2 linked regions of the Medicago truncatula genome follow. The main gene of each other region encodes a partner of the protein of the gene in region 2 in a complex. Links are inferred from orthologs where the notes say so. Each region holds a gene or a part of one and is shown on either strand. Other genes may lie near its edges. The genes, in order: rac-like GTP-binding protein RAC13 and rho guanine nucleotide exchange factor 8.

Region 1 (15,662 bases), on a different chromosome or scaffold from region 2:
TGCCTCCAAACCATATTTAGCCTACAACACTACTTGCTCAAGCTTTGGGTTCCATCTAGGCTTTGGTTTTGGAGTTCTCTCATGCAATGTTCACCAATTATAAAATTCACTGAAAGATGTTCATTATATTGTACAAACTATGGAGTATTACGATACTTCTATAATAACTATGTTATTTTTTAATTGCCTATATTGCTTAAATGTGTGAATTTAGGAATCCGTACTTGATTGGAATCTTAAATTCACACAATCAAACAGATATGGTTAAACCATTAAAAAAGATCAAATAGTTAACGATAAAATAAAACTTTGATATTTAGGTTTTTTTTCACATTTTTTAGGGATAAAATTACTCTTGCAGTCACTTTTAAATTATATGAATTCATTCATGGAATCCAAGTCCCTATAGCTGCTCCTCTCATTTTCTTGATATTTTGTCATATATATTTCACACAAAAATTATATACCAACTCTTTATTCGTTAAACCCATTTGGATTAGACTGGTGACCGTGTTGGTTTGAGATCTTAGAGGGTGCTCCTCCTCAAGGTCTATCGATTCTCTTTGGTGTCAATTTTTGTGGGCTAGTTTAGATTCTTCGATTCAGTTCAATCAGATTTAAAAAAAATAAGGAGTTTACTTTATAAAATGTAAAAAAATAATTTCACACACTTATTTTATAAACCAATACAATTACATAAACTACAATAGAAAAATTTATATTTAAGGGTTAATTAAGTTTTTGGTCCCTATAAATATATGCAGTTTTGTTTTTAGTCCCTATAAAAATAAATCACACTTTTTAGTCCCTATAACATTTTCCGTTAGTGTTTTTAGTCCCTATTAAATTAAAATTTGTTTAATTATGCTTAAAATTTTAAATTTTATAATGATTTTTTACATACTTGTTTAAAACGTTATAAAATGTTTTGCCACAATAAATTAGCTCAAAATTTTATTTTTAGGTCCAAATTTTCGTTAGTTTTATCTTGAATTTTTGGCGTTTTAAAAAAATTAAATTTAATTCATTACATGTTAAAAAATTCTAATTTTTTATAAAAGAGATTATTATAATTTCTTAACATGTTTGTTAAAAATCATTTAAAAATATAAAATTTTAAGTATAATTAAACAAATTTCAATTTAATAGGGAACAACACATACTTTTAGTCCTTGTAAAATTAAAATTTGCTTAATTGTGCTTAAACTTTTAAATTTGTAACATATTTTTCACATACTTACTTAGAATATTATATAAAGTTCCTCCGCAAAAAAGTAACTTAAAATTTTATTATTAGGTCCAAATTTTTATTAATATAATCTTAAAATTTCGGCTTTTAGAAAAATTCATATTTAATTCATTACATGTTAAAAAATTTAAAAAAAAATTATAAAAGAGTGTCTTACGATGTTATGAACATGTATGTAACAAATCTTTCAAAAATTTAGAAGTTTAAGCATAATTAACTAAATTTTAATTTAACAGGGACTAAAAACACTAACAGAAAATTTTGTAGGGACTAAAAAGTGTGATTTATTTTTATAGGGACTAAAAACAAAATCGCATATATTTATAGGGATCAAAAACTTAATTAACCCTATATTTAATTATTAAAAGAAATACAATATTTTTTTCTAAGAAATAACTACTAATATAACATAAAGTACATTATAATCAAATATAATTGTTCGTTTTGATCTCAACGGTTCAATTTTGAAAATGAATTTGTTTGGTTTTATTCCTTATATGACACCCCAAACATGAAAAAAAAAATATCAAATCTATTTAATTTGTTTCAATTGAAATTTTGAATTTATAAAGTCATTGATTTGGTTCTTTCATACACACAAACATGTTAGTTTGATTAAATAATAATAATAATGAGCAGAAGGAATTGTTTGGAAACCAGTGAAGAGAGAGGAGTTGATGTGAGGATGTTAGAAAAATCCATGTGATTAAATGGGACACAATTTGTTTGGATTAGGAGAAAGGAGATTTGGGGGTTCGTAGAATTTAGGAGTTCAATTTGGACCTTTTCGGTAAATGGTGTTCGAAGGTGCTTGTGAATAAATGGTGTTTGTGATATCAGGTTCTTGCGGCTAGGTATGAGTAAAGGAAGAAGGGGTCAACTTAATAGAAAGATATAGTTGGTATTCAAAGAGGTTTGGGTATGGAGTTTGTAATTGGTATGGTGATAATTTGATGTGGGTTGTGAGTGGTGGGTGATGATGATTCAAAGAGGTTTTGGATTGATTTGTGGTTAGAGGGTGATCCTTTATGTAATAGGTTTAGACGACCTTTTGATTTGTCTGGAAATCATTTGGTGCTAGTTGCTTAGATTTTTTCTTTAGGGCAGGGTGTTGATGGTGGTGGTTGGAAGTGAGGACATATGTTATTAGCTTGGAAGGTGAAAGTCCCAATATAATGAAGGCGGGAGTTAAAGAAGAAGTCCAGAACAAAGATGATGTGGGGAAGTTCACGAAGAAGTTGTCCATTAGCGACAACAAATTCAAATTCTCTGACATTTTGGGTCCATTACAAGGATTTGTTTAGCTTATGAAAACTTTCTTTTCGAAACAAGAGGATCCAAGGAAGAGCTTGAACGAAGTGGGGTAGAGAGTGAAGAGAAGAAGGAAGGTGACACGCCAATAAAAAGACGATGTTTTGTTATACCCTGCATGATTGGTAAGATTCTTATTCATGAAGCCTAAAGTGATTTGGGGTCGAACATCAATTTGATGCCTTTATCCCTAGCAAAGAAATTGGAAGGGGTGGAAAGTATTTCATCCACAACAACTATAGTCTTGACTAATGGATACAAAAATGATCTCCTCAAACGGCTACACGGTGCAACAGCTATGTGACCCTTAGAGGATCCAAGTCCAAATGAATAACCACCTTTCTTTAAAATATTTAACATGTTTAGGGTAAAATTAGGATTTCATGTGCTTTATAGGGGTAAGAGTACAATTTGAGGGGTAGGAAGAATAATTTTCTTTTAGAGATTGGATTGAACTTTAAATAGTTTAGGCTTTGAATTTGATTAGCCCAACCCACCTTCTACGTTCGATTAGTCAGTTCATTGAAAGCTGCTCATGAGTCACCCTCTAATTGCTTAATTTAACAATTATCGTTGGTTGAACGACCGTTAAGTGTTGTTCACCACAAAATGACAATTAACAGCCTTTAAACATTTTTTAAATCCGTTAAATTCCTTCTTCAATTGTTCCAACCGTTTTAAAAAGTCTCCAAAACAATCGTTAATTATTGCTACTGAGAGTATTTTCGTCGGTTTATGGTGCTTAAGAGCAAATCATGAATGCCTAAAGAGCAAATTTCCAGTTCATTTTTTTTCCATCAAAATTGAGGCAGCATTCCGATAAACGCATTAACCACTTATATTCAATCACTTTGATTTTCTGAAATTCAGTTTTATGTTGGTTTAATGCCACAAGCTAATGTCGCTCAAATTTAACTTTTTCACAGTGATTAGTCATCAAAAAGTTCCTTTAATTAAGTTTAAAATTTGAACAATCCAAAGTGAAAGAAACAACTTAAAGTTAAAAGTGGAATCAGAATATCATGAAATACAAAAGGAATTCCCAATTTAACTTCAAATATGAGTAACTACATAAACAAGAGCAACTAGACACAAAAAGAAAAATAATTAATTCAATAATTCTTCACTAAGATAGTCCATAACCCTTAAGACTCTTTTTTTTCATTCTATATACTATAAAATCACAAACAAAACATTGAAGCTTATGGTTTCAATTCTGCTATATAAATCTGAAAATGAAATGGAGTGGTTATATATTATTTTCACACCCCCCAAATTAGAGGAATGTACATGTCCTTGTCTTGCGTGGTTTCTTCTTTGGCTTAGGTGGCCTCAATGCAATCTTTATTGCAGCATCAAAAACTACCTTCACATTCTGTAAACAAAAAGAATTAGAACAAATACTTAAAAAAATACTTCACAATTGGAATATAATAGTTGAATTAAGTAGCATCTTTTGCTTCAAAATATGAAACAGTAAAAAAGTTAAATCCAAAAAAGAAGTGCTGTAATTTTACCTGCTGTGTTTTAGAGCTGCACTCAATGTAACTAACTGCTCCAATCATTTTCTTTAATTCTTCACCCTGTTCACCACAATCATTGATTAAATCCATTGTACATTCAAAATAATATTGGTTTCAAATATAGAAATTTTTATGAATAATTTATTTATCGACGGCATGCCTTAGCAGTTGTTATTTGTGTCGCTCCAGGATGATCGATAAAAAATTGCTTGTCGTCTCGCAAATCTGTGCATACGTAGGATTTAAACATAATCAGACATTTTGAATGTTCTGTAAGCTATAATCAAATGAAATTTTCATTACTGTCAACTTATAATATAATGGTGGTTGAAATGTTACTTAGATGGAATAGCTTACCTAATTTTGTTCCCACCAGCACAATAGGCACATTTGGAGCATAATGTCTCAGCTCAGATATCCACTGTTAATAAACTAAAAATGTTATTACAGTACCAAAAAATAATAGAGATCTAAATCTAACTTATAAGGTAATGTATAGAGGAAAAAACCTTTTTGGAAATGTTCTCATAACTAGCTTTACTAATGAGAGAAAAACACAACAAAAACACATCAGCTCCTCTGTAACTCAATGGCCTTAATCTATTGTAATCTTCTTGTCCTGTAAGTAATCCACACAAAATTTCACCTCATCAAAACTTGATATTGATTTATATTAAAAGTAAAAAATAAAGCTTTAGACTAACCTGCAGTATCCCATAAACCAAGATTAACTGTACTACCATCCACCACTACATTAGCACTGAAATTGTCAAACACAGTTGGAACATAATCCTATCATAGAAAAATCAAAAGAAAAAAAAATATATTAGATTCATCACTATATTTTTTTACATGTAAATTGAACTATTTAGAAACATACAGTGGGAAAGGTATTGCTTGTATAGGATATAAGCATGCAAGTTTTTCCAACAGCACCATCCCCTACTGTTACACACTTGATAAACCTAGCAGTACTCATTCTTCTTGTTTTTCTTAACTTAAGATCATAAACTATAGTTGCAAAGAAACAATTGAAACAATATTTATGATGGAAGTTAAAGGAGGGGGTGACTAAGCAAGCCTTTAACTACTTAGGAGTAAGTCTATATTACCTACTTTTAGTTGTTGTGGCTCATGAAATTGATCAAAATTTATAATCATGTACATAAAAAAGTGTTACTTTTCTTAAAGTGTAAGGACAAGAGTAGATATGGTAACAAAGTAGGTAGGTATAGTGGTGGTGTTAGTTAGTTGGTTAAGTGTGGGAGAAGGGAGGTAATGAATTATGAAAAGCAAAGAATTTTTTGCTTAATTAGCTAATACATTATAATGAAATTAAGGAATTATTTTTTGAGGTATGATATGATGTAAAGTAAGTCAAATAAGTTTGTTGTGACATGTTTGTTGGGTATGTCTTTGTTTCTAATTATAATATGTTTGTGGTTATGGTTAAACGGATTGAGCTAGCTTACATTGGTTTCTTTATCCTTCATGGGTCCACTATTATTGGAGTGGTCCAAAAAAAGTTAATGCTTTTTACTCCACCTTATTGTAACACAAAAACTTCAATGGAAAACATTATACTAAGCAATGTATTTTTGCATGCTGTGTATTCTCTTAATGCATTGATTTATTTATTTTATTTAAATTTCAGTTCAGTCGTTGCAACTTACAAACCCATAATGATTTGATTACATTTATTTATTTTATCGAAATTTCAGTTCAGTCGTACACTCTCTAACCATAGGAAAATAATATGGTAACCAATTGGCTAAGAAGCTTTTGTTAAGGTTGAATTTGAATCCTAAGCAAAATTATTATTTGGTTAAATTTCACTGGCAAAGCGAGCCAAAATTTTACCATGAAGCCATATATAGACAAAAAAAAAAGTAATAATTTTACGAATGTTATCATGACAATTTTCGTTGTTAACAAAATTTGAGGATCAAAAGTTAATATTCGGAGGATGGGTGGAAGAGAGCAATGGAGGGAAGGAAAGCAATGCCACCTCAGTTTTTTTATCATGTACAAACCTTTTTAACAAAGAAGACATATTACAAATGTTAAAATTACTAAAAATTGATTGATGGGTGCACCATCATAAAGTTATGAGAGCTGAAAGCACTCTGATTCTTGACTCCATTGTTCCCGTGTATCCAACTCACTACAACACTTCACATTTTTGGGGCATATAACAAGTATATCAAAAATGCTGGACCATAGGGGGAAGTTAGGGATCATTTATATTTAATCGAGAACCACAACAGCGAGTTGGACATCACATCTTGATCCAAAATTTTAAGATAATAGATTTATGGACATTTCACTTGTAAATTGTTCAACCTCTACTTTTTTAAGAAATATGTGAATTCTTACTCACCTCACACTTGCCACAACAATCTCCACTCTCAAGTACGAGTGATTTCCATTCACTATACTCCCCTTCAAGTGTAAGCTTTTTCATCCACACACACTTACTTGCACTGCCATTGGTTCTCTTTCAACAGAACACGTCACTTGAACATCATTCGTGGAATCGTCGACTTTAATACCATTGTTGGGTCATAGAGGGAAGCATGGCGGATCATCCACATTGAATTAAAAGCAACCACACAAATGAACCGGACACTAATGAGTTCGTGGGTCCTCCCACTTATAAAATGTTCAGCCTCTATTTTTTTTAAACAATGTAGAACTTCTAACTCATTTCACATTTACCGTAATAGAATTTCTTCAACTATTTACACATGTCTGTGTCAAGGTTCCGATAAAATGAATAAAATCATCGCATTAAACTTAGCAACCATAAAAGTAGTTTAGACACTATATCAATGCTTAAGTTGCTGCCGTAAAAAATAGTAGCAACAATATATATTCCAAAAAAATTAAAATCTAAAATAACTAGAAAGAAACTTGCTACAAAAAAAACTATTTCTCTCCTAAACATCACATAGGTTTGTAGAAAATGTAAATTTGCAAAACTTCCAATGAGTTATTGGATGTAATTTCTTTTCTAAGGTATACAAAAAAAACTATCTCTCATGTATCAATCATTCATCTGTTGTCTGTTTCACTCCATTGTTCAAAAGGTCTACACAAAAATAAAATAAAAATGAAATCAAAGTCTAATTTGATCAATGCATGAAATGAAACAGTGAGTTAGACATAGATAGCATGTGGGGAAAAATAAAACTAACAAAAACACCATACATAGGTGTGGAGAAATGCTTACACATGAACCAGCAGCTCCGTTGTACAAAATCATCAAGTCAATCTAATTAAGAAATTGAGTAAAATTTGTCAGGTAAGTCGCACCAAACTTTGTAAACAACAAAATTATTGTGAAACCTCACAAACAAGTGTAATTTCACATGCACACAATAACTCATCTAATAAATTAGGAGTAACTAATGAAATTTAAGACAGAAAGGAATATAAATATAAGAGCGACATCTAGCATTTTTCATAATATCTCATATCCCATCATATGCATAAGGCGCCTAGTTTTTTAGTTGAACCTAATTTTGAATGGATCAACATGAGACTGAGATTGGTAGTGTTAGTAACATATTCTCAAACATACATTTCTAAATATACTACATTCTATTGATTGAAATTTAAATCGGATTCATTAAATTTAATGATACAACTCAGCAACGAGCCAACGACGAACCCAAATATTGTGAGTATTACACTCAATGCATATATAAATTTATATCAATAAATACATAAGTAGTCAAATAATATTTTAAACATTCATCTTTCGAATAATACAAATATGAGAGGTAGACCTTTTATTTATTTATTTGAAGGGAGACTTTTAGTTTTTTAAATATTATTAAACTTGATGTTATAATGCGGACCTTTGTCAAATTTTATCCTCTCTGTATGCATAATTTCATCCTTAGTGAGGCCATGGCACGCACAAGCTTACGCTTGGGGTCGTCCCTGCAACTCAGCATAAAAAATTTGGTCATTCTATGCAAGTTAACCACATGGACCAATGTATTTTTTTCTTGAACGGCAAAATGAATATTATTGAAAAATGAGAGAAGTACAAATAGGGAGAAGTATAAGGGATACTTGACCCACCAAACTACAATGACAAACACCTAAAACAAAAGACAATCTATAGAGTTTGAAAACCACTCATAAGACAGAGAAGGATCCCCTTTCTTCCTAGCAAGAAGTCATCTTCCACAGGTAACCTTAATAGCATCAACTAATTCTTCTACCCTTGGATTATTTTCGGAGAAAATAACACCATTTCTCGCCTCCCAGATCTTTCATACAGTAGTATGTCATGTTAGCATTAGGTCTTTCCCGCGATTAACATTTCGAAGAGGAAGAGAAAAAATAATCAAAAAGAGAAATGATGTTTTCCGGCAAGATCACTCTCGTTCAAACCCACTTAAAAATTTGGTCCCAAACTGACCTGGCAAATTGACAAGTACAAAACAAATAATCCTCCTCGTCTCTAAAGTCTTGAGGCACCACACACAATCTGCAACCCTACCACCTTGAAGAATACCCCTTTTTTAAGGGTGCAAATCATAATCAAAGTATGTGATTATGGTTTAAATTTCTAAATATCAAAAGTAGTTTATTCTTTTTAGGGACCAACTCGGGTCCTTGTTTCTTTATTTTTCTCAGGCTTCAAATTAAATATTCATTCTAAAACAATTTAAGTTTAAATTCATTCATATAAAGATAAATGGATTTAACAGTAAAACTGATTGGGACAGAATGGATCCTAATTTTAAGTTAATCTATGTTGTAGCCAAATTATATTTAGGAATATAGACTATAGTTGGAGAGGGTACTATATATTGCTTGTCTCCCTAACCAGTGGCAGAGTCACGAATTATATAGAGTTTGGGCAAAAAATTATATAGAGTTTGGGTAAATCCGTAAGAGAAGCTAAAACTTCTACCTAATCTGGACTTGTTACAAAGAAAGTTGGAGCTGAGCCTGGCTAGCTGGGGGGTGGTTCCGCCCCTGTCCCTAGCCACAATTTAAAAAAAAAATAAAAATACTTGTATCCACATGGACAACAACTTTAATACTACACTCATACCATATAGATACATAAGTTTGTTACACATACGTGTCACTCGCACTTTAACAAACAATAATAAATCAGTAAATAACAAACTAGTCTTCTTTAAAAAAAAAATAACGAAATAGTATTGTAACTGAACTAAAAAAGAAACCACTTAAATTTGTTCAAAATGAATCATTAAACATTACAAACCAAGCTATTTAACTAATTCAGTTTTCAAAACATTTTGCGGGCACATTGTGTTCCTCGGAACAAATTTACGATGATTTGTGCTACGGACACACTATGGTCCTCTAAAATTCATCGGAAAACACGTATTTTGAGGGATTTACCCCGGTGAAGCTGTCATTTTTTTGTTGTTGTTGTGAACATGTTCAATGAGTAGACATTGAAATAATAAATTCACAAGCTTTCTTTGCTAGAATAAGTCATAGTTAATCACACACAAAATAAGTCATAGATCCATTTAATGTTGCGTTCTTTTGCCTAACAACAAGAAATCTTGCGTTACTATGCAATATTACATAGGTTAAGACAACTAAAAATGGTTAAAAAAAAAATTAAAACAACAATTATTCATTACAAAGTTATATATGTATTTAATATAAAGTGTATAAGTTTCAACATAAACTTATCACTTTTGCCTTCTTATTTTATGCAAGTTTGCACATGATAGAAAAATCTTTCATTTAAAATCAATCATTAATTGTACATATTACTGTCAACCAATGATATAAATAGAAACAAGAAGGAAAATTTAGTAATTAGACCGACAAATTTTTTTTTTAAAACCACCAACGTTAATATTGTTAGCAATATACTAGGAGTAGGCCCAGGAGTCTTTGAATTAGATGGTAAGACATTTCTTTGAGTTTGGTCAAAGGCCATAGGTTTGAATTCAATCCTGAAAATACAATAGTGTTAAATCTCTTGAGAGAGAGTTTTGTCATCAATTGTGGTCCTATCTGAATCGAGAGATTTGTCTTTTCAGTTGGGTGCATAGGATGTCCGATTCACAAGGAAAAAAAATATACTAAAAATAGAGATCGAACCCTTAAACTGCTTATCACTCAACTCCATAACGCGAGGAAGGTACTAAGGTATATGTACCCAGACCCTCACACACTCATTGGTTGATTGCTCTTATAAAATAATGTTGGTTTTCATGGCTATTTTTTGCGAGTACTCAACGAGCCTCAATTCAATTATCATTCCTAAAATCTATTAAAAAGTACATGTTAAAATTAATTGTGTGTGTTGTGAATTCGAACAAATAATCACACCAATAAAATTTAGATGTACGGAGCAATATGGAAGTAGTAATAGATGAGCAAAGTAACCTCAAGTAGCAGCAGCAGCAGCAGCAGCAACAACAACAACAACAACAAATATACCTAGATCTAATTAAGTGTGAAGCCACCAAAAGCATATTCAAAGCAACAAAGATAAGAAATAAAGGGAAAGAAAACAACACGCATACATTGTTTATCCAGTTCGGTCCAAAATGACCTACTATGAAGGAGATAGCAGCTCTCTGATCCACTATGATAAGGGTACAAAGAGGTTACAAGAAATTAGCTTAATAGCTCACAAAGAACAAATCATAATTTCTATCCATTTTTCAAGTCACTCACACTCACAATGAATCCTAAGAGAAAACACTAAAGAAAACTTTTAGATCCTTCCTCTAATGAGATCTCACTACCCAAGATGCTTACAAATGTTTCTCAACTCAAGAAAAAACTCTCACTAAATACACTCTACCCTAAAGTTCCCAACTGCACATGTCCCGAGAAAATTGTGCCACGATTTCCTTCAATCATGCCATGGTTTGTAAGTTCGTACACAATATGAATTTACTTATCCACTAAATCGTATCACGATCTACACCTTTGGTGCCACGAAAAAAGTCGAGCCAAAACCTTGAGCCATATTACACCATGATCTCACCAAATCGTGTCACAATTCTTGTCAAACTTCAATCATCCATTTTGAGTCAATTACAACAGTGCGTACAAATGATATAGTATAATAGTGAGTTCAAAGATGCACTTGCTACCTAACTAATATTATGGACCTAAAAATTCCCTCGCAACTTTAACCTAAGCACGGTATATTTATACGTAAATAACCCTTTTTTTTGTGGTGGTCGGGGTTTGAACCTTGCATATAATTATGCATTGTCCCTACCAACTGAGCTGAGCTCACGATGACATATGTAAATAACCTAACAATATGCACATCCTAGTTAAAAAAATGTATATTGCATACAAAATTGAGATGATAAGATAAGCAAAACACATATGTCAACACTTTATATTCAACAAAAAAGATGCCAAAGAAAATGGTGCACAAATATCAATTCCAACAAGAGACAAAAGCAGTGAAAAGAATTCCTTACAGTTTCCAAAAGAATAATACTTAGAATGCTGCTGACCTTCTCCTTGCATTCCCATATGTTGATTGGTAATAATATTATGATCCACAGTCACTTTAGTCCCAGAACTACTTGCAAGACTTTGCAAATAATTGGGTTGTGAAGGTTGCCAAACATTAGGACCAGCAACAACACAGTTCAATAAATTTGTTTCCTCGTTTTGCAAAGCACCTATACTTCCAAAGCTATTTCCTCCATAAGGATATTCAAAATAGGGATTATGTACAACATTGTTGTTAGCCACAAAAGGGGCCTCAAAAGAAGACCAATTTCCATTGCTTGAAACAGGTACAGCATCACTATTGTAAGAGAATGAATTTTGGGCAAGACCCATAAATTTGGGGTCAGAAGATGGAACAGTTTGGTCTTGCTGTTGTTGGAGTAGGTTTTGTAGTCGTGCTATTTCATTCTGAGCTTCAGTGAATGCACCAAGTGGACCATTGATTGGGTCTTGTTTCCACATCTTTGCTTCCCAATCAAAAGACTCGATGGCTTTTTTTCTTCCTTGTTCATCAAGGTTTCTGAGCATTTTTTCCAACTTTTTGTAACCAAAAACTTTGTGAACAAGGTCGTATTCTTGTTTCTTCTTCGTTGGATAATAAGGAGCAAGGAAGCAATCTTTCATGCACTTTTTCTTTTGGTGTCTACAAGGAGCACATGCTGTTTTGTTTATCATTTTTGTGATGGCACTCTTTTTCTTACGGTGTTGCCGGTGCCGCCAACAACGCTAGTTTTCAACCCTTTTTATTTCTTTTCAACTAGGTTTTCCTCCTTTAATTGTCAAGGAAATGGAAAAATTAGGATTAGGGCTTTTCAGATCTAGGGTTTCATATATCCAAAAATATATATATTTAAAAAAGTAAAGAATGTTTTTACAAAAAATAAAGTCTTTTTATTTTAAAAAATAATAATAAAGTTTTTTTTTATTCTTGTCAAAAAAATAAAGTTTTTTTTTATTATGAACTAATCAATTGATTATTTATTGTTCCTTATTTAAAAGATTCTCCTGAATATAATTTTGTGTCATGAGACTATAAAAATTGCACATTTATTTTCAATTACGTTTTAATTAGGAAATAATATATTTTAGTAAATCTGATTGGATATTTGTAAAAAATAATATTTTGCAAACCGTTTTTGTTTTTGATACAGTCTTTTTTTTTTGACAAAAATAAATGATATTTATTCATTTAAATTGATAAAGTACATCGATATAATGCAAATTTGCTAAAAACAAAAAGGATGAATTTGTGAACAGACTCACAGCATCCATGTTAATAGATAAAACGGCAAAATACAAATGTCTGCGCATACACATATAACTATATTCAAATCTCCGGAATAACCATGTCAGTGATGTTACATATCTAAATTTTAATTGGGGATGTATCAACTACAAAAGTCAATATGAAAAATGTTGTCACTATTTTAAGTGGTTTGATGCAATGGATATGGAGATTGAAATTTCAAGTTGAAGATTGCTTTAGCTAGTTAAGAAAATGGTTGAAGATTTCTTCTGTATTTAAAATTGTATGATTTGGGATTATCCTAATACTAGTGACAATGATCATGGGTGTTCTTGAAGGGGTAAACAGCTCTACGGATCGGGGCTTTAAAATATTAGGGCTTAAAAAAATGTATTATAAGTGTAGGTTTATTGACCTTCACCCAATTATTTATAAAAAAAAATTTTAGTCTTCTCAATATCTCTTTTGGCTAAAAAATATCCTCAGGGAGTTATCTATTGGAGATGTTATAATTAAAAAAATTATCCTCCAAGAGTTGTCTCTCAAAAAATTTTGGGTGTCTAAGAGAGATTGAGGAGGCCAAAAAAGAGTTGCTCAATTATTTGTTATGTTAAAAAGAAAAATAGTAAATGGATAGGTAAAATTCGTGTGAGAATGATGATAAAGATAGTAGCTTGAAATTGTATTTTTTGTTATTGATTAGAATGTAATTTTTTTTTTGTATTAATTACAATGATGATTATTTTTTATGTTTATGGATGTTATCTACAATTAAAATAAAGATTACAACCAAGTTGTTTGGGCTCTAGTGGCAAGGAGCTCCTTCCAAGGACGTACCCGGGGAATACCGGGTTCGATCGCCCACCTTTGGTGAGTTGAAAACTGGTGCGAAAGCCAAAAAAAAAATTAAAGATTACTCTTTAAAAAAAATTGAATTTCCATTTTAGTAAGATCCAATTTTTACTATGTGAGTTATAAAAGATTAATTTAGAAAATAAGAAATTTGCTACGGTTTTTGTTCGGATGGAAGACTTGATTGTCAGTCTTTTACCTCCACCAAAAGATCAGGTAAACCAATAGTTGAAAAAGCATTAAGAACTGAACATATACAAATTAAATCAGACACTTGAATTATAAACTGAATAAAAAAAAAACTTCTTTAATTGAATCCAACAAATAAGGAGAGGTTCATCTTGGAACCCTGATCAAGACAAGTTTATTTGCTCATGGCATCCAACATCGTTACAAAACAAAAGAAAAACATAGAACAAGAGGAGGAAGAAACCCTATCCCTTGAGGACCCGTTTGGTGTACATGACACGATAGAAATAGGATAGGATTAAAAAATGGATAAAGATAGGATATGATAGTGACATGATAAATATTTATCCTCTCATATGTTTGGTGCAAACATGATAAGAAAGACAGACGATAACATTATTTTATCTTATCATATGTTTGATGAGAATTTGTTATTATGATAAGGAACATATTCTAAGCCCCAAATCTTTTGTTTATTCAATAGTGTCGAAAACAGGCCAGAACTTGAATTACAAAACAAATCTATTTATTTTTGAATCTTTGCTCATCTTGAGTCATTCCAACGATCATAGAAACAAATCTGATCATTTTACTTCCGGTTCAATGAATTCCATTCACGTACAATTGAAATTAATAACCTAGCACATGGAGAGAAAGGACTCGGAGATAAGAGAAGAAGTAGAAAGAAGAAAAGTAATTTTTTTTTTTATGCAAAATAATAAGTTATTTTTGTATGCGATTGAAATCAACTCCATTAACGGGCTTCTTCTGAAATCAATTCCCTTGAGGTGGCTTCTTCTGAAATCAATTCCATTCACAAAATTGAAATCGATTGGAAAAATAATTGAAATTGTTGGAATTGATTGGGAACAAAATTGAAATCCATTGGCATGGAATAGAAAACGAAGAATGAAAAATAAGAAACGTGGAAACAGGGAATCGAAGGAGGTTGTTGAGGAACAAAAAACACGCGCTTGATAGCTTTATGCTATCAGGTTGCTAACCCACAAAAAGTTACGGATAAAAATAAGAAAGAGGGAATAGGATATGATTAGAAATAGGTTTAAGTTATCATTTCCTATATATTGCTGCACCAAACAACGTATTGAAGCAAGATATGATAGTTGTATCATATTCTGTCTTCTTATCCTGTGCACCAAACGGACCCTAAAGTTCTATTGGTTGACATTTGCCTTGTACCGCCAGCTTTTTGAATGAATGAAAATGTTTGCAAGAATCTCTATTTATAATGCATCATTACTTAATGATTACGAGATGAGAAGTGGGATTTTTCAACAGGAGGTAAAACAACATAATAAGACTCAAAACAACACATGGATAATATTAATATAAAATTCTTAACACACGAGGTAAAACAACATAATAAGACAAGAATTTCAACAACACATCAATAAAATTTGAAAACCCCTAAAAAAGAAAACAATGACAGCAGAAGAACACACAAAACACTCAAACATATTCTAACTACACAACATTAATAATGAAGAAAGAAAGCAACATAAACCTATCGTTGTCCTTTCGTAGCATGTTTCATCTTCTCTTCTCTCATTGTCTTCCTTTGCATTTCCATAAGAAGAAACCAGAGTATGTTCCTAGAAATCTCTCTAAAACTCTCGTATACTAGACTTATACCACCTGGCTACCTGTTCGCCAATCCATAAATGTCATGCATGCATCCACGTCGGCATAATTAACTTTTTCTGAATAAAACTAACGGAAAAGATTTAATTTGTCTACTGAAGTCTGAAGGTGAGTTAAGGGACCGAAACAT
Region 2 (15,867 bases):
AGGGAGAATTTCTTTCATGTTAGACTCTTGTTGATTACCTTGATTAGGCATTACACCATGATCTTCCTTCCAATGGAAGTTAGGATGGCTCACTTACCCATGATTGTAATTGTTAATAGGGTCAATGGAACTTGGTTTAAAATGATGACAAGTGATTATGATTTCCTGAATTTCTCGATATCTTGTTTGGTAACACTAGTTTCTTATTCAATTGAAATTCCCTAAAAAAAAAACAATCAATTGAAATATCAGGTCTATGTTCATAGCATATAAAATACAGTGTGTTAAATTTTAAGAGATAAAATTGGTACTTTTATCTTTTTATTGGCCATCTTTTCCGTTTGAAACGGTTGTGGTCACTAGCCAAAAATAAAAGGGTGTCAATGAAAATGAGAAGCATGCAACGAAATGCAGGAAATTAAAATAGAAGGATGTGTTAAACACTACCATCCATTCTCATATCGTGAATCGAGAATTAATTCATTTGTTATATTTCAGTATTAAACACGACAATTCATTCTCTTATCATGAAAATGTGAAATTTAAACACGACAACTCATTCTGTTATCATGAAAATCTAAAATTTTTGTTTTATTTTGCTTCAGTTTTTTAAATGAGAGACTAGTTTGTCCCCTAAAAAATCTTTTTATTCCCCAGTTGGCACTTAATTGACATTGTTAACTTAACGCCACATAGTTAAGCTAATTGTACACGTCATATGTAGGTTCAATGATAAAAATAAAAATTCAGAGACTAAATTGTATCGGTTTTATATTATAAGAGACTAAATATGATCTTTTTATTTGTTGAGGATTAATTTGGCCCCTATAGAATTTCACAGGGACCAAAATGGTTCTTCACTTTTATTATTATTATTACTAGTGTTTAGAATGGCATTATGTGCCCGTTTGTCCAATTTTCTTCTTATTATGCACTAATGCATGTATATTATGAACAAATGATTTTTATGAAATTTTGATTAAAATTAATTTGATTTTGATTAAAATTATAGATATAGATAATATATATTTTACACTTTCATATTGTAACAGACTATACTTATTTTTTTTAATGATATCGAACAATATAGCGAATATAATATCTTTAAAAAAATGTAACAAATCTTAAAAAAAATAATATAACAAATATAATATAAATCTTTATCTTGTTGAATGACATCAACAAAATAACTTTCGATGAAATTTGTTTAAGTATAATTGGAAGGAGAAAAAGCCGCATATTTTTTATTTTTTTATATTAGGACTTTGAAAGTAACAAAAAAAAATTAGGGTTTTGGAATTCAATTCAATCTCTTACTTATAAATGTTAACCCGTCTCGCTATACTTAACTTAATTTTAACCTAATTTTTCCCTCCACACTTTTGCATTTAATGTTTATCTAAAGTAAAATAAAATGATGTTCCTAATTAGATGCTATTTTTTTTGGAAATGAATAACCGTTAACCTGTCTCGCTATATCTCTCTTCTCTTTTACTTATCTTCTTATTCCTAAACAAAGTTTTGTTGCCCTAATTTTAACTTAATATTTTAGCAACTTTTCCCTCCTTCAAAACCTAACCATATTTCCTAATTCCCCTCCTCAAACCCTAGCCATGATTTCCTAACTTAACTCCTCCTAAAACCTATCTAATTGATTTTCATAAACCATATCTCCTAACTCCCCTCCTCCAAACCCTCACCAATATATTTTAATTCTTTCTCCTAAACCGAAATCTCTTTTTAAAACCATACTTTTCTCTTAAACCGAAATTTCTACCTATCTAATTGATTTCCATAAACCATATTTCCTAACTCCCCTCCTCCAAACCCTCACCAATATATTTTAATCCTTTCTCCTAAACCGAAATCTCTTTTTAAAACCATACCTTTCTCTTAAACCGAAATTTCTTAATCAACATGGCTTCCATACCTTTCAATCTTTTGTAGGTCCGTTGGTGAAAAATCCTCTTTCCGATCTTGACAAAGCAATCAACAAGCTGAGACTGAAATACAGATCATATATCGTTGAATATGACATTGATGTTGTATGTGTTTTTTGTGAAATATACCTATTCTTAATTATTTGCATTCTATTTTATCAACGTTTGTGATGTTTTTGTTTGTTATTTTTTTAGGGTGCAGTATACTTGCCAAACATGTTTGGCGGTGATTTCGGAGATCAAATTGGGCGCTATGCAATATTGACTGATCCTAAGTCCAACAAGTTTGAAGTATTGATCGACAGAGTAAACGGAGCATTTTTTCTCACAAAGGGATGAAAAGCGATTCGTGACTTTTACGAAATCTCTTTCGTGACAGTTTGATATACAGTTGACTGATAGGTTTCACAAGAGTATCCCTTACCCGATTTTTGATCCCCCTATGCATTTCCTTCTTGACAAGATGAATTTGCAAGCAACTTTCGATGACTATCTCCCCCCAATAACATCTCTTCTCGCTTATCGTCACAATATCACTGACATGGTTCTTGATTTATAAAAAAAATTAACTGAGTATGATGTTACTAAAGGTTGCATGGTATGATACACTTTTCGTGTCCACCTTAACTTCTTTTATTCCTTTTCCGTTTAGTTGATATAAGTTACATGGATTTCTAATTTTGCAGATTCTACTTTACACCAGCAATGTTCCGCAGATGCTTGATACACTCAAGACAACTGTGAATATTATCGACGATTGCGGTAACTTATGGGTGTGTGAGCTAACTTTTGAAACTTTTCCTTATGAACACTTCAAGATAGGACGGCGTTGGAATAGGTTTGTGGAAGCTCGCAGGCTCCGTGAAGGTGTGAAGATCAGAGGGGGTGCTCCGATGGTTGGGTCACATGATACCATTTACCTTGATGTTATTTACAATTAGTCCATGTTTAGATAAATTGTGCAACACCTTTCCACTTTGAACTTTAAGTTTTAGTTTCTTAGAGTTTTGGAAGTATCTATTTTTTTGTCTTTGAATTTAGCAAATGTCCCTTGAATTTCATAAATAATTTAGCCTTGCTTGCTTTGGTTTTTGATTTATATATTTGTGTTTGTGCTCCTCAAACTATATTTAGTAGCATTGTTGTGTTATTGAAGCATTTTAGTAGCATAGCTTTTAGTAACATTATTAGTAACAATTACTATCTTTTGGTGACACTTTTAGTAACATTATTACTAACAATTACTAATCCTAATCTCTAAAATATGTTTTGGGTGGAATCAAACTAAAATCCTAATCCTAATTTCTCTCATTCAAGTAACTAAGAAATTTCATCCACATCTCTAAAGTAACTTTTTGGTGGAAACAAACTAAAATCCTTATTTATCTCATTCAAATAATTACGGGATTTCATCCACATCTCTAAAATATGTTTTGGGTGGAAACAAACTAAAAATCCTAATTTCTCTCATTCAAGTAACTACTAAAGATTTCATCCACATGTCTAAAATATTTTTAGGTGGAAACAAACTAAAATCTTAATCCTAATTTCTCTCATTCAAGTAACCAATAGATTTCATCCACATATCTAAAGTAACTTTTTGGTGGAAACAAACTAAAATCCTTATTTCTCTCATTCAAATAAGTAAGAGATTTCATCCACATCTCTAAGATATGTTTTGGGTGGAAACAAACTAAAAATTCTAATTCCTCTCATTTAAGTAACTACTACATTTCACCCGAGTCAACTATCCTAATAATTTGTTCTGCGCCCCTAAACCCTATTTACAAGTCAATTCTTAAGTCAAACACACTGCCCCATCAAAAATATTAATTTCATATTATTTGTATTTATCTTTATCCTAAAATGTTGGGCATTTCCTAAATTTATTCCACTTCAAGTGCATCCATTTGTTCCGCGCCCTCCCTATTTACATTCCAATTCTTAAGTAAAAAAAATGCCTCATCAAAAATATTAATTTCATTTTATTCATATTAATCTTTATCCTAAAATGTTTGGCATTTCCTAATTTTGTTCCACTATTTTGTGCTTATCGTGATAAGTAATACTCTTTATTGCTCAACCATCATATCTTACTCACACGTATTGTTCGAGGGGTGGTTTAAAGATATTGATTAATGACGAGGACGGCAATTATACCGATGTTGCATCAAATGTGGTCTACAAAGAAGTTTTCCGTAATGTGTAGGACTTTTTTGTGTACTATTCATTTTCTTACTTATTGAAACTATTTGCATGTCAACAAACTTCAGTTTCCCTTTTAAAATTATATGTTATGTTAAAGTAACATAAACTGCGTCTTAGAATTATGGAACAATAACAAAGTCTATCGTAATTGACATTATGCTTTGATTCACGACAATTTTTACATTCAAGCGCACTACATTGTTTTATTTTTACAGTGAATATTTACTTCTTAAAATGAACCGTGTGTTAGCATGGGTCAATGGTCTAGTAAATGTTAACCCGTCTCCTTATACTTAACCTAATTTTTCCCTCCACACTTTTGCATTTAATGTTTATCTAAAGTAAAATAAAATTATGTTCCTAATTAGATGCTATTTTTTTAGAAAAGAATAACCGTTAACCCATCTCGCTATATCTCTTACTTATCTTACTTATAAATGGTAACACGTCCCGCTATACTTTAACCTAAGTAAGAGATTATGTTAATTATACTTAACCTAACTATTTTGTTACCGTCAAATATTACCATCCATATGACCCGTGCTTTAGCACACAGGTCGATGGTCTAGTTAAATTGCGTACTTTGGTTGTTCAGAGATTAGGGTTTTGGAGTTCAACATGTTAATCAATGCTTCCTCCAGAATGAATCTCTCCAATGGCTTGAGGCTTCCTTCATCTTCCAGAATGAATTTCTCCAACGGCGTGAGGCTTCGCTCATCATCTCATCCCTGCAAATCCACACATGATGTAGGAGTATTCTATAGGTCATTGGATTATGGACTTTCCAGAGTTATCGAAGGACATAAACCGGTGCTACCAATTCGATGCCTTGGACAAACCGATGGAGTCTCTGATGCCGACTTTTATGAACACTTCGAAACTTGGTGCAAGAAATATGGAAAAACATACTCTTCAGAGGAACATAAACGCTATAGGTTCAAACTGTTCAAGGAGAACTATCCCATTAAGCCTCCTCACAATAACTACCTTTCTCTACAAATGCTCAATGAAAATTCTAATGAAGAAGATCACCCAAATAACTCCTCTCATCCCCTCACTATCGAGGAAGCCATTCAGAAATATGGATATGGCCTCTGTCCTTACGAGTACGACTTCCTCCCGGCTCCTCAACCCGGCACCATGTATCTCTATAACAATGGAAACCCTTTAATTCCATTAGATTCTGATTTGGCAAAATATTTACAGATTTACCAGTTTTTCGAACGCATTGAGATGGATGGTGACAACTTGAATTCTTGGAAAATGAAGGTAACTGAAGAATCCATGAGCAAAGGAAAGAACGTACTGAATTTCCCAAAGAAAATTTCAAAGAGGTTTTTGATCGACAATCCTCCTTACATGAATGTCATTGATCAGGAGTTCGGTGTACATTTTCCGTGCGAGGTGAAGAGTTCTGGTGGAGATGTTAATGAGAAATTTCTTTGTGAAGGATGGGATGATTTTCTTAGAGCGAAACGAGTTAAGGAGGGTGATACTCTGATCTTCCCCATGTCAAAGAATGGAGGGATGATGTTGGTGCAAAAAAATTCAACTTAACACCATGGTTTGATGAAGAAAGCTTTGAGGATTAGGTGACGGAATTAAAACATGTTTAAGTTCTAATTTGCTGTTTTTTAATGTCTTGGAAGTTTTAAGTGACAATGAAGTCTTATGTAAAAATAAATAAATGGTGTACTTTAGATTATATTATAATTTTTTTTTACCTTTTCAATAATTCAATCTTTATGGTTTACAATAGTTTTTGCATATTTGAATGGTATGCAGTTCAAATTTTGTGGTTCAAATTGAACCATCATGTAATATGTTTGGATTGCTATTTTTCACATACTATTTATCGATGACACAGGCACGAGTGGTGTTCATGACGTGATCGTGAACTCTTATCTGCATAACTAGAGATTAAAAATGCAAATGTCTTGTCAAATTCTTCAGGACCATATATGCACCTGTATAGCATTGCATTGTTTATTATTCTAGACTCAATGATATAAATGTTATTGCCTGTCATGATTGGTGATCTTCCAATGCATCACTTTGATTTGCATTCATCACTAGATAAGATTCTTTTTAATCCTTATTGGAAATTATTTTAGGCTATTGGCATTCATCAATTCTGAAATTTGATTGACTCGGATATTAGCTACCATGTAGTTGTATTGATCAAACTCAAAACAAGGTTGCTCCGTTGGATCCTACTAAAATATTCAGAGAAAAAACCTGACATGAATTTTTTTGGTCCAATGGCATGTGGATGTGGATCAGTTTGCAAACGACGCAATGCTCGTAGGATTGAGGATTGGATTTGGTGACTTGGTAACATACTGAACTATGAAATGAGTTGATACGTTCGCTTGAGGCCTTACATACTGAACTACGTAATTTGGACTTAAAATAGAGAAGCCCTCGACTCTCACGTAGAATCACACAATACTCGGTAAGATCTTCTGAACCAGTACTAATAAAATCAACAAACAGTTTGGCATCTGAGTTGCAATGACAAACGCCTCTCCCAGCTTAATTTCTAGTAAGGTATAAATAAGACCATGTAGTCGAGCCTGAAATAAAGCTTCTGGTTGCATCTCTCGCACACAGGTTTGCTGATGTTACATTATTACAGCGAAAATATCCCGCATCAGTATTGATTCTCCCGGTGCTATTTTTAGTGAACATAAGAAAAAGCAAAGCACAAAGTCTAATACTAATACAATAAGAATGCAACTCTGCTACATCAGGTAGCAGGTCTGAAACTTCGAAATTCGACCTCCAAACGCCATGTTCTTTATTAATTGGTTGCAGAGTGAGCATTTCTTGACTTCATAGTTGACTTCTTGACTTAAACAATAATGTGTAACAATCTTTTTTTTTCTTTTCCCATGAACTAAGTGTTGAAGTGTTTAATAGAAATGTGCAGCAACTAATTGTTTCGAACAATAAGAGAATATATTGAGACTTTTACATATAATCCAAACATGACATTGACATTAATTTGAGAAAATTGAACCATTGAATGTAAGCACATATCGCTGTTGTATCAATGTTGGACACCGGCATACGTCGTATATTGACGCATGTTGAAAACCAAACACGCCTTCAACCGGAAGTGTCGGTGCCAAATAGATTATGCATCAATTCAGTTCTCAAATAGTTTGTTTTAGGAAGCCTCTCAAATGCTTTTGAAGTTTTTATGAGATACGTATGTTGTTAGAAAAATTCGAAGAAAAATCATAATGAGATGTTAATTAAACTTCAACACACTTCATTGGAGCATAACCAAGTCTTGATTTCTTCATATCATACAAAATATACAACAATTCTGTTGTTAATAGTTTCCACTTATTGAAAGTGCAGAGTGACCTATGAAGCAAGGGTACAGACACGGACACAACACGGTCAATGACACGCCGACACTGCTAATAATTTGAAAAAATCACATAATTAAATGTAATTATATGTGTCGGTGTCGGACACGACACGTGTCTGACACCGAAATACGCCTAATCCAAAGAGTGTTTGTGCTTCATAGGTGCAGACCAAGGCTAGGAATCACGAAAATAGACAAACAAACAACATCACCATATTCAATCTGAATTAAGTAATTCTCTAAAAGAAAATCCCAAAAAGTACCATCTGAAAACAAAATTCCAAATCCAGGTAATTCCATTTCTTAAATTCCACTCACATTATAACATGGCTTTGAAGGTGCAAAACTTTCAAAACTTTCTTAAATTCCCTTTAATTTTCTTCATGAATGCTTCCTTAATGATCTCATAACTAGGTTCAGCAAAATAAGTTAAAGATGTACGTACCAAAATCAATTATTGTACCACCAACACCTTTTGACAAATTCAAAGTTTCCCACCTAATGTTACTAGCAAAACAACTGCACTTAAAGCACTGTGCATAAGCTTGAACTATATTCTTGAACTGTCATTGGTATAAAATATAATATAACTGTTAATAGGCTATGTACCAAAAATCCTATGTATTTTTGCCAACTTGGATCTTTATTTTTTTTTTGTCTAAGTTAGCAAACTCGTATATATAAAGCTTAGAGCTTAACATTTTAATCTTGGTAAAATGGTCAAACCACCTTCCCCAATTATTTTTTAAGGATTGGAATAAAGCATTTCTCACATGGATTGGAATAAAGCATGTTCCCTTCTAATTATAGTGATCTCATTTTCTGGCTATCCGGAAATTAATCCATATTTTATATGAAATGAACTAAAGAAAGTTTAACCATTAAAATGGTAGTTGTGCATATTCAATTAGATGCCAATTTTTTCATCCACTAACTAATAACTTAATTGTTCTTTTTTCTTTTTCCAATCCGTTTTAAAATTTTGTACAAAGGGATGGTAGAAAAATAAGAGATAATAATTACTACTATAGTTAGAAATATGCATAATTTTCTTTGTCATTTATGGTTAGTAATTTCATGTATTAACCTTCTCATCCACTCATTCATAAAACAAACTCAACAAATTTCTTTCTATCATGAAACCAAACCTAACCATTTTACATGCAAACAAAATTTCATTAATCTAACATATCATCTTAGAATTTTTTTTGTAACATTCTTTAACATCATTAGATTGAAGGAGGGTTATCCCTTTTCATAATTACCCTTCTTTTGTCTTCTTTATCTAATTGATCAAATACTAATTTCAACAAGAAGAAAGAACTCCTCTAAGAAAAAACAAGAAGAAAACACAACAAAAATTGCAAAGGTCAACAAATTCTACATCAAGAGATTCAATAGCCAAATTGTTTTGAACCTTTGTTTTTTTTTTTTTTAATAAAAAAAACAAAGGTAGAACATTAAATAAGGTCTAATTAACAATGGTTAGGGCTTTTAATCACCAATTCAGCATGCAGAAATCAAGGTCTTTTCATTTTAGAAAAATGTTTGAGATCCCTGGGAAACATATTCAAGGTTTATTTGATAAGGATCATGATGAAGGAAGTGATCATAGTGATCATAAAGTTCACTCAAAAAGCTTTGAATCAGCAAGATATACCAGTGATATTCCATTGGAAACTCAGCCAATAGGAGTTTCTCTCAATATTAATAATGATCATATTCAAGAAGCTGTAGCTAGAATGCCTCCTAAGCCACCACCAACAGGTATAATTTTTCTCTCTACATTTTAAGATCATAAGATTTGTTATTGATTTATAAAAAGAAAAATATAGTTTTGATATTATTTAATTTAGAGATTAATTTTTAGAAAAATCGAGTCAATTTGTGTTGTTAGCCGGAATTAAAATCATTTTTTTAAAATATATATTATCTATGGAAAATGACTTTCGAGATAAGCTACTCAAAATAATAATTTCTCATTTGAAGCAATTTTTGTTTTTATCATTTAAAAAAATGTAACGAACGGATGAAAACTTTTAAAAGTAATTATTTATTTTTTAAAATTTGATTTTTTTGTGTGTTCATGAGGGAAAAAACATAATTAAGTTGCTGAATATTCTTTTTTTAATGGTTTTGATTCAGAATCTGACTTGATGAAGGAAAGATTTGCTAAGCTGCTTCTAGGAGAAGACATGTCAGGTGCAGGAAATGGTGTTTCTTCAGCATTGGCTTTGTCAAATGCCATAACAAACCTTGCAGGTATATACTTTTTTACCCTCAAATCTTTATGGTAGAAAATGAAATGGTTTTGTAAATATTTTCCAAAAGTGGAAGAATTTTCTAAATTATGTGTCACATGACATGTGGTTTATAGGATTTAATTCGTAAATATTTTACACCGTCAACAAATCGTAATTGTCAAATCTTTTAAAATGTTAAACTTTAATCGTAACTACGTAGATTAATCATATGATAAGTAAGACTTTTTGTCAAGTGTAACTTTTTTACACTAACAATGCATCAAAATTAAACTCTATTAAAATCAAACAATAATTTTTTTAATGAAAGGGAACAACAACATTGGTGATTTATAAAATTCATGATTTCATGTAGCATCTGTTTTTGGAGAACAATCAAAGTTGGAGCCAATGTCTCAAGAAAGGAAGACTAGGTGGAGAAAAGAAATTGAATGGCTTCTTTCTGTGACTGATCATATTGTTGAATTTGCTCCATCACAACAGTTAGCTAAGGATGGATCAACCATGGAGGTAAACACTCAGCTTGAAAATTATTTAATTGATGTATATCGTGGATCCGGCTCCCCTGCAATCAGGAATTCTCCGCATTCACACAATTGGGACAATGTGGGCGTTCAATCATGATCGGACGGTTTAGATTTAACCTCGCTATTTTGAATTAATAAAAAAAAAAATCAAATATGCATTTTTTTACCCTCTGATCTTGATGAACGACTACTGATGTCCCAACTGCATGAATGCGGAGAATCCCTAACTGCGTGAAATCCGAATATCATCAAGAGTCTCCTAGAGAACAATTATGATGTATCTTAAATGCTTAAAATAATGCTCTATTTTTAGCGTTGCAAATTTATATGCATAAGTATTTTTCCCACGACATTGGCTATATTATTGTGACACATAATAACATATTATGAATTATGGCATTATGTAGATCATGACAACTCGGCAAAGAAGCGATCTGCTCATGAACATTCCAGCCTTGCGCAAGCTTGATGCAATGCTCCTTGTAAGTAACTACATTTTTGCCCTATTTGGATATGCAACTTAATTTAACACTTATGGCATAAGCGCTTATGCCATTATATAACTTCAAATAAGTGAATCCAAACATACTTTTTTCTTAATTACTATTAGAATTTTGGACTAACTTTATGGCAATGTAATTATAGGACATTTTGGACAACTTTAGAGATCAAAATGAATTCTGGTATGTCTCAAAAAGTGATGAGGAAGCTGAAGGTAACACTGTCACTCAAAGAAAGAGTGACAAATGGTGGCTACCAATTGTTAAAGTTCCTCCAACAGGGTTATCAGATGTAGCTGTGAAATGGATACAGTTCGAGAAAGACAATGTTAACCAAGTACTTAAAGCAGCCATGGCAATAAATGCTCAAGTACTATCAGAGATGGAGATACCTGACAACTACATCGAATCTCTCCCTAAGGTAATATAATTAAGGGTCGGTTTAGATTGATTTATTTGCGCTTGTAATATAAGCACTTGTGAGACCGTTTGAGAGAGCTTATAAAAAAACGCTTTATGATCTCACGGTATGGTATAGAGATAATGCTGAAATCTTTATGTAACTAAGTTTTTATTTTCTTTCATGTCTTTGTCAGAATGGTAGAGAAAGCCTTGGTGAGTCAATCTATAAGTGCATTACTGTGGAATACTTTGATCCGGGACAATTCCTCTCAACAATGGACATGACCACCGAACATAAAGTTCTTGACCTCAAGAATAGGATTGAAGCTTCTATTGTAATATGGAAAAGGAAGATGAATAAAGATGGAAAATCTTCATGGAGTTCAGCAATAAGCATGGAGAAGAGAGAACTCTTTGAAGAGAGAGCAGAAACAATATTGTTGATGATCAAACAAGAGTTTCCAGGACTTCCACAGTCTTCACTTGATATCAGCAAAATCCAATACAACAAGGTGATAACAACGTTACACTCTTATCTGAATTATTGTTCGACTCACTTTTATCTGAATTTATCCAAACACCGATAACTTTACATTAAACTCACTTCTTACGGAAATTAACTTTATGAAATCAAATTTCGCTACAACAAAATCAAGCATAGACTAATATTCATGTTGGTTATGGCTCATAGTTTACTGATAGGTGGGGCGGTCGCTCTTGATTTCCCTTTGGATGGTAGTATTGAATCATGAGTTATAATATCTAACCCTAAGTTTGAATTATAGAAAATCACTGCAACGACTCTATAGTCGGAGACATAGGCACAACTAGTCGAACTTCGTGATCAAATCTTGTTTTTTTTCTTTGGTTGTATTTTCTCGTATCTACTTTCTTTTGAACCAAGTTTGCTATTCTAGCATGTACTGATGAAATTGACTGCTTCCAAAATGATCACAGGATGTGGGACAAGCCATTCTAGAGAGCTATTCAAGAGTAATAGAAAGCTTGGCTTATACAGTTTTATCAAGGATTGATGATGTTTTATATGTGGATTCAATGACAAAGAATCCATCGTTGGCGGCATCCAGTCGGAGATTCTCATTGGATTCTTTGCCAATGTCTGATCAAACATCTCCAAACTCTGAGGATAGTGGGATAGGAAGGATGAGTTCTTCAGACACACCACCATCAATGACTCTCTCAGATTTCATGGGATGGACAAAAGGAGATTTGAAAAGGACTAATTCTACAAGTGACTTAGAAGACTTGAAAGAGAAAGATGAAAAAGTTTTGAATAAGCTTGGAACACCAAAGAAAAATTATTACTTGGACAAGCTTGAATATTTGAATGCTATAAGAAGTCCTATCGCGCGACATTAATATCGGTAACGAAAAAAGGGAAGATTATAAAAGTTCAATGCAGATGTAAACAAACACAAAGATTAAGACCTTGGTTATGCAGTAGTAGAATCTCTTGTGTGTTTTTCTTCTCAGCATAACCAGCTTGTACATTATGTAAAGTCTCTTAGGTTATTGTGTAATTTCTGTACTTGTAAATTCTTTTATTTCTTCAAAATAGTGGAAGGTTCATAGTACTTCTACTAATGTTACTGTTAAAATGGTCAAAAGACTTTTGAATAGGAGTTTGATTAACACTACAATTCTTTACTTTGGTAAAAATCTCTTTGAAAAGTACTTTTGCAAGCTTGATTTTGTTTAGTTCAAAAGTTGCAAGTTCAACGGTTTATGTTTTTATACATCGTTATAATCATCATCATATTTCCTACTAAAACTACAAAAACAACTACTAGTTTGAAAGTGCTTCAAAATACAAATATTTTATTAATCATATTTGATTCTTGAATCATGTAATTAACACTAAACTTCCACATGAAAATGATAAGAAATTATGTTCTCCATTTATTCAATGTTTTCGTTTCGAGCGCTTAATGAGATATAAGATGTCGCTTCCATGCAAGGATCTTCTATGACGCGGCGTAACCTTTGGAGTACCCTACAATAAATAATTAAGCCATTACAGTTACAAATCCATGACTAAAAGAGAAATCAAATTCTTTATGCAGCATGAATCAGGAGAGTGAGACATTTCAGAAGAAAACTCACATGGAAATCAAATGCAGGATTCGAAACTTTTGCTAACACTGATAAACCGTCACGAACAGGCATCACTAGCATAGTTTTAATTAGGATGGAAAGAAATATATGTTAGAGATGCAACTAAAAAAAATGGTTATGTAGAAGAACATAAGATAACATTATATTTTCATAAGAACATGATATGTTACCAAAGGCTAAATTGTTATGCTTGCTAACTGTTGCAGTTGCTGGCTTCAAATTCTTAGTTGTACATGGATTCTGAGTGTACATGTAAAGTGGCAAATCCCCCTGTATATGTTTATCTTCTTTTTTTAAAGGAACTTCACTTTTAGAATTACTGCATCAAATAAAATATATGTATTTAGCATGTCATATCTAGCATGGTTTTTCTTGGTTGTGAAAATTAAAAAAACTTAATTACCTTGTTGGTCCCTTAATTTACTCTAAAAAGTGTTAATTTGGTCTCTAAAGTTAAATCTGTTAGTAAATTAGTTATTTTCGTCCAATTCGCTGGTCAAAGTCCATGTCACATATTATGTGTAATTACACATAATATGTCACATCAGCATAAGATGCACCCTTTATGGGAATTTGGATGAAAATGTCTAACTTTTACTAATATGGTTAACTTAAAGGGATTAAATTGACAATTTTTAAAGTTAAAGGACCAAATTGAATTTAAAAATTAAGTTAAAAGATAAAAAAGTAATTAAACCATTAAAATATATATTGTGAAACATTGCTCATAATCAGATTCATGAGAGTATTGAGGAACCAAGAGGTACCTTAATTTGTCACTCTTTGATCTCTCAAGGATAGGAGCTGATCATGAAAAACAGCATTGAATTAGTAACATTACATTGCAATTGATTTGCAAAAAAATAAATGTTGTATGCATCAAAATAATCAAAGGTGACATGGAATATTACGTGATGATAAATATCTGGTATGTAATCTTGGCAATTTCTCCCTCCATTGCATATTTGATAGGGCAACCTTATCAGCATATTGGTCACATGTGAAAAGTCTCTGTCAAAAAGCATCATCTTTAGTAACAGTTGTTAATTTGCTATAACTATGTTAATATTTTTTTCTCCCATTTGAAACTTAAATTTTATGAAAATGATGTTACTAAAGAGGTAATAATCAAGTTTGTGCTTGAAATTGTAGGGTTGTATCGACCTAATCCCCTTCATTATTAATATTCTAAAATACTAGTACCCTTATCAATATTTTAAAATAATCATCGAAATATTAATCTAATCTATGATCGTTCAATCAAGATAGAACAATGTATATTATTCAAGCTCGGTATTTTAAATTGTTATAAAATCATATAAGTTTCAGATTGTCTGGTCTTGATTGAACGATCATCAATATCACAACACGAATGTGGGATCCTTGGTGTTACCTTGTGTCGGACACCGAATATACCTTCAAACTGATACATGATACTACATGTGGATTAATGATATAACATATAATTGTGCATATAAGTGAATTTATGCAAGTAATAGCACTAACTTGTGTGAGGCACTGAATTCGTATCTCAGCATCAGAAAATGAATTTTTATGAGAAATAAGACCTTCAAGATTAGAGGAAACATTCCCAAGATGATCAACTACAGTAACCATAGCTCTGCATATGTATTCTTTTGTGTCATCCATCACACTGAAAAATGTACAAATTTCAATATGTCACGGGTCAATATGTCCAACTAACAAACAAACTTACTTTTACACTAAAGTTAGAAAGTGTACTAAAAAAGAAGTACACTAAAGTTATAATAGCATGATGATTTGGATTCCAAGAAAATTACGTGACATTGTAAACTCACAACTATGATCATCAAGTTTCAACAATATATGAAACTTGTTTCTTACAAATCGCAATTAGACCTAACAGAACCCTATCAGGTGGTCTAATGATTCTTAATTGATTCAGTGGATCTTACGGATGCTCGGCTACCGTCTTAAAAATCATAAAAGATAAAACATTATAGTTGCACTTAACATAACCCTACAAAACTGACTTGTAAGGTGAAGATTGTCCCCACTTATAAACACATATTTAGACTATCTTTTATTTGATGTGAGACTCTTTAACATTGTTATAGGCTAAATTATATTTTTGGTCCTCTAACTATTTAATTGGTATCGGATTGGTCCTCTAACTAAAAATTGATTTATTTCGGTCCTATAAGTTTCTCACCGTTTCTACATTTAGTCCTTTCTGTTAGTTTTATTCAAATAAACGTTAGGGTTTGTATTATGTGGGTCCTCTAACTTTATTTATTAGTATCATTTTGGTCTTATGCCTTGTTAAGGTGTTATGATTAAATAATGACTGATATTATTGGTAACTGTTATGGTTCATATGTATGTGTGAAACATGAGGACAGGTACCTACATAACACAAATCCTAACGTTTATTTGAATAAAACTAACAGAAAGGACCAAATGTAGTAACAATGAGAAACTTAGAGGACCAAAATAAATCAATTTTTACTTAGATGACCAATCTAATAC

What was found.
Region 1: the proteins of rho guanine nucleotide exchange factor 8 (region 2) and rac-like GTP-binding protein RAC13 are in contact, whole or in part, in a crystal structure (PDB 2WBL), measured with the Arabidopsis thaliana proteins. The link is inferred for Medicago truncatula from reciprocal best matches to the Arabidopsis thaliana genes ROPGEF8 and RAC2. Residues at the interface, in NP_189105.1 of Arabidopsis thaliana: Lys95, Glu100, Asp101, Met102, Ser103, Lys107, Leu113, Asn117, Ala118, Thr120, Asn121, Leu122, Ala124, Ser125, Glu129, Arg143, Arg217, Asp218, Ser219, Glu220, Lys233, Trp234, Trp235, Gln265, Met269, His325, Leu328, Asp329, Gly383, Leu384; in NP_199409.1 of Arabidopsis thaliana: Phe6, Asp14, Gly15, Ala16, Val17, Pro37, Thr38, Val39, Phe40, Asp41, Asn42, Phe43, Ser44, Ala45, Asn46, Asn55, Trp59, Asp60, Ala62, Gly63, Glu65, Asp66, Tyr67, Asn68, Arg69, Leu70, Arg71, Pro72, Leu73, Arg76.

The regions. Positions count from the first base shown.
Region 1 is NC_053045.1:42,625,864-42,641,525, reverse strand, and holds rac-like GTP-binding protein RAC13, read right to left. Parts: upstream 5,271-15,662; 5' UTR 5,063-5,270; coding exon 4,964-5,062; intron 4,876-4,963; coding exon 4,788-4,875; intron 4,703-4,787; coding exon 4,593-4,702; intron 4,505-4,592; coding exon 4,441-4,504; intron 4,309-4,440; coding exon 4,244-4,308; intron 4,144-4,243; coding exon 4,078-4,143; intron 3,936-4,077; coding exon 3,837-3,935; 3' UTR 3,579-3,836; downstream 1-3,578. Other genes in the region: WUSCHEL-related homeobox 9, read right to left, coding at 1-14; LOB domain-containing protein 2, read right to left, coding at 11,452-12,258. UniProt on the Arabidopsis thaliana protein: Inactive GDP-bound Rho GTPases reside in the cytosol, are found in a complex with Rho GDP-dissociation inhibitors (Rho GDIs), and are released from the GDI protein in order to translocate to membranes upon activation.
Region 2 is NC_053047.1:40,421,876-40,437,742, reverse strand, and holds rho guanine nucleotide exchange factor 8, read left to right. Parts: upstream 1-8,658; 5' UTR 8,659-9,011; coding exon 9,012-9,297; intron 9,298-9,675; coding exon 9,676-9,792; intron 9,793-10,146; coding exon 10,147-10,301; intron 10,302-10,725; coding exon 10,726-10,800; intron 10,801-10,963; coding exon 10,964-11,239; intron 11,240-11,414; coding exon 11,415-11,732; intron 11,733-12,177; coding exon 12,178-12,600; 3' UTR 12,601-12,869; downstream 12,870-15,867. Other genes in the region: uncharacterized protein, read left to right, coding at 2,404-2,484, 2,627-2,807, 4,744-5,705; probable protein ABIL5, read right to left, coding at 13,145-13,234, 13,345-13,409, 13,527-13,675, 14,124-14,160, 14,268-14,367, 14,863-15,010. UniProt on the Arabidopsis thaliana protein: Guanine-nucleotide exchange factor (GEF) that acts as an activator of Rop (Rho of plants) GTPases by promoting the exchange of GDP for GTP. Active as homodimer.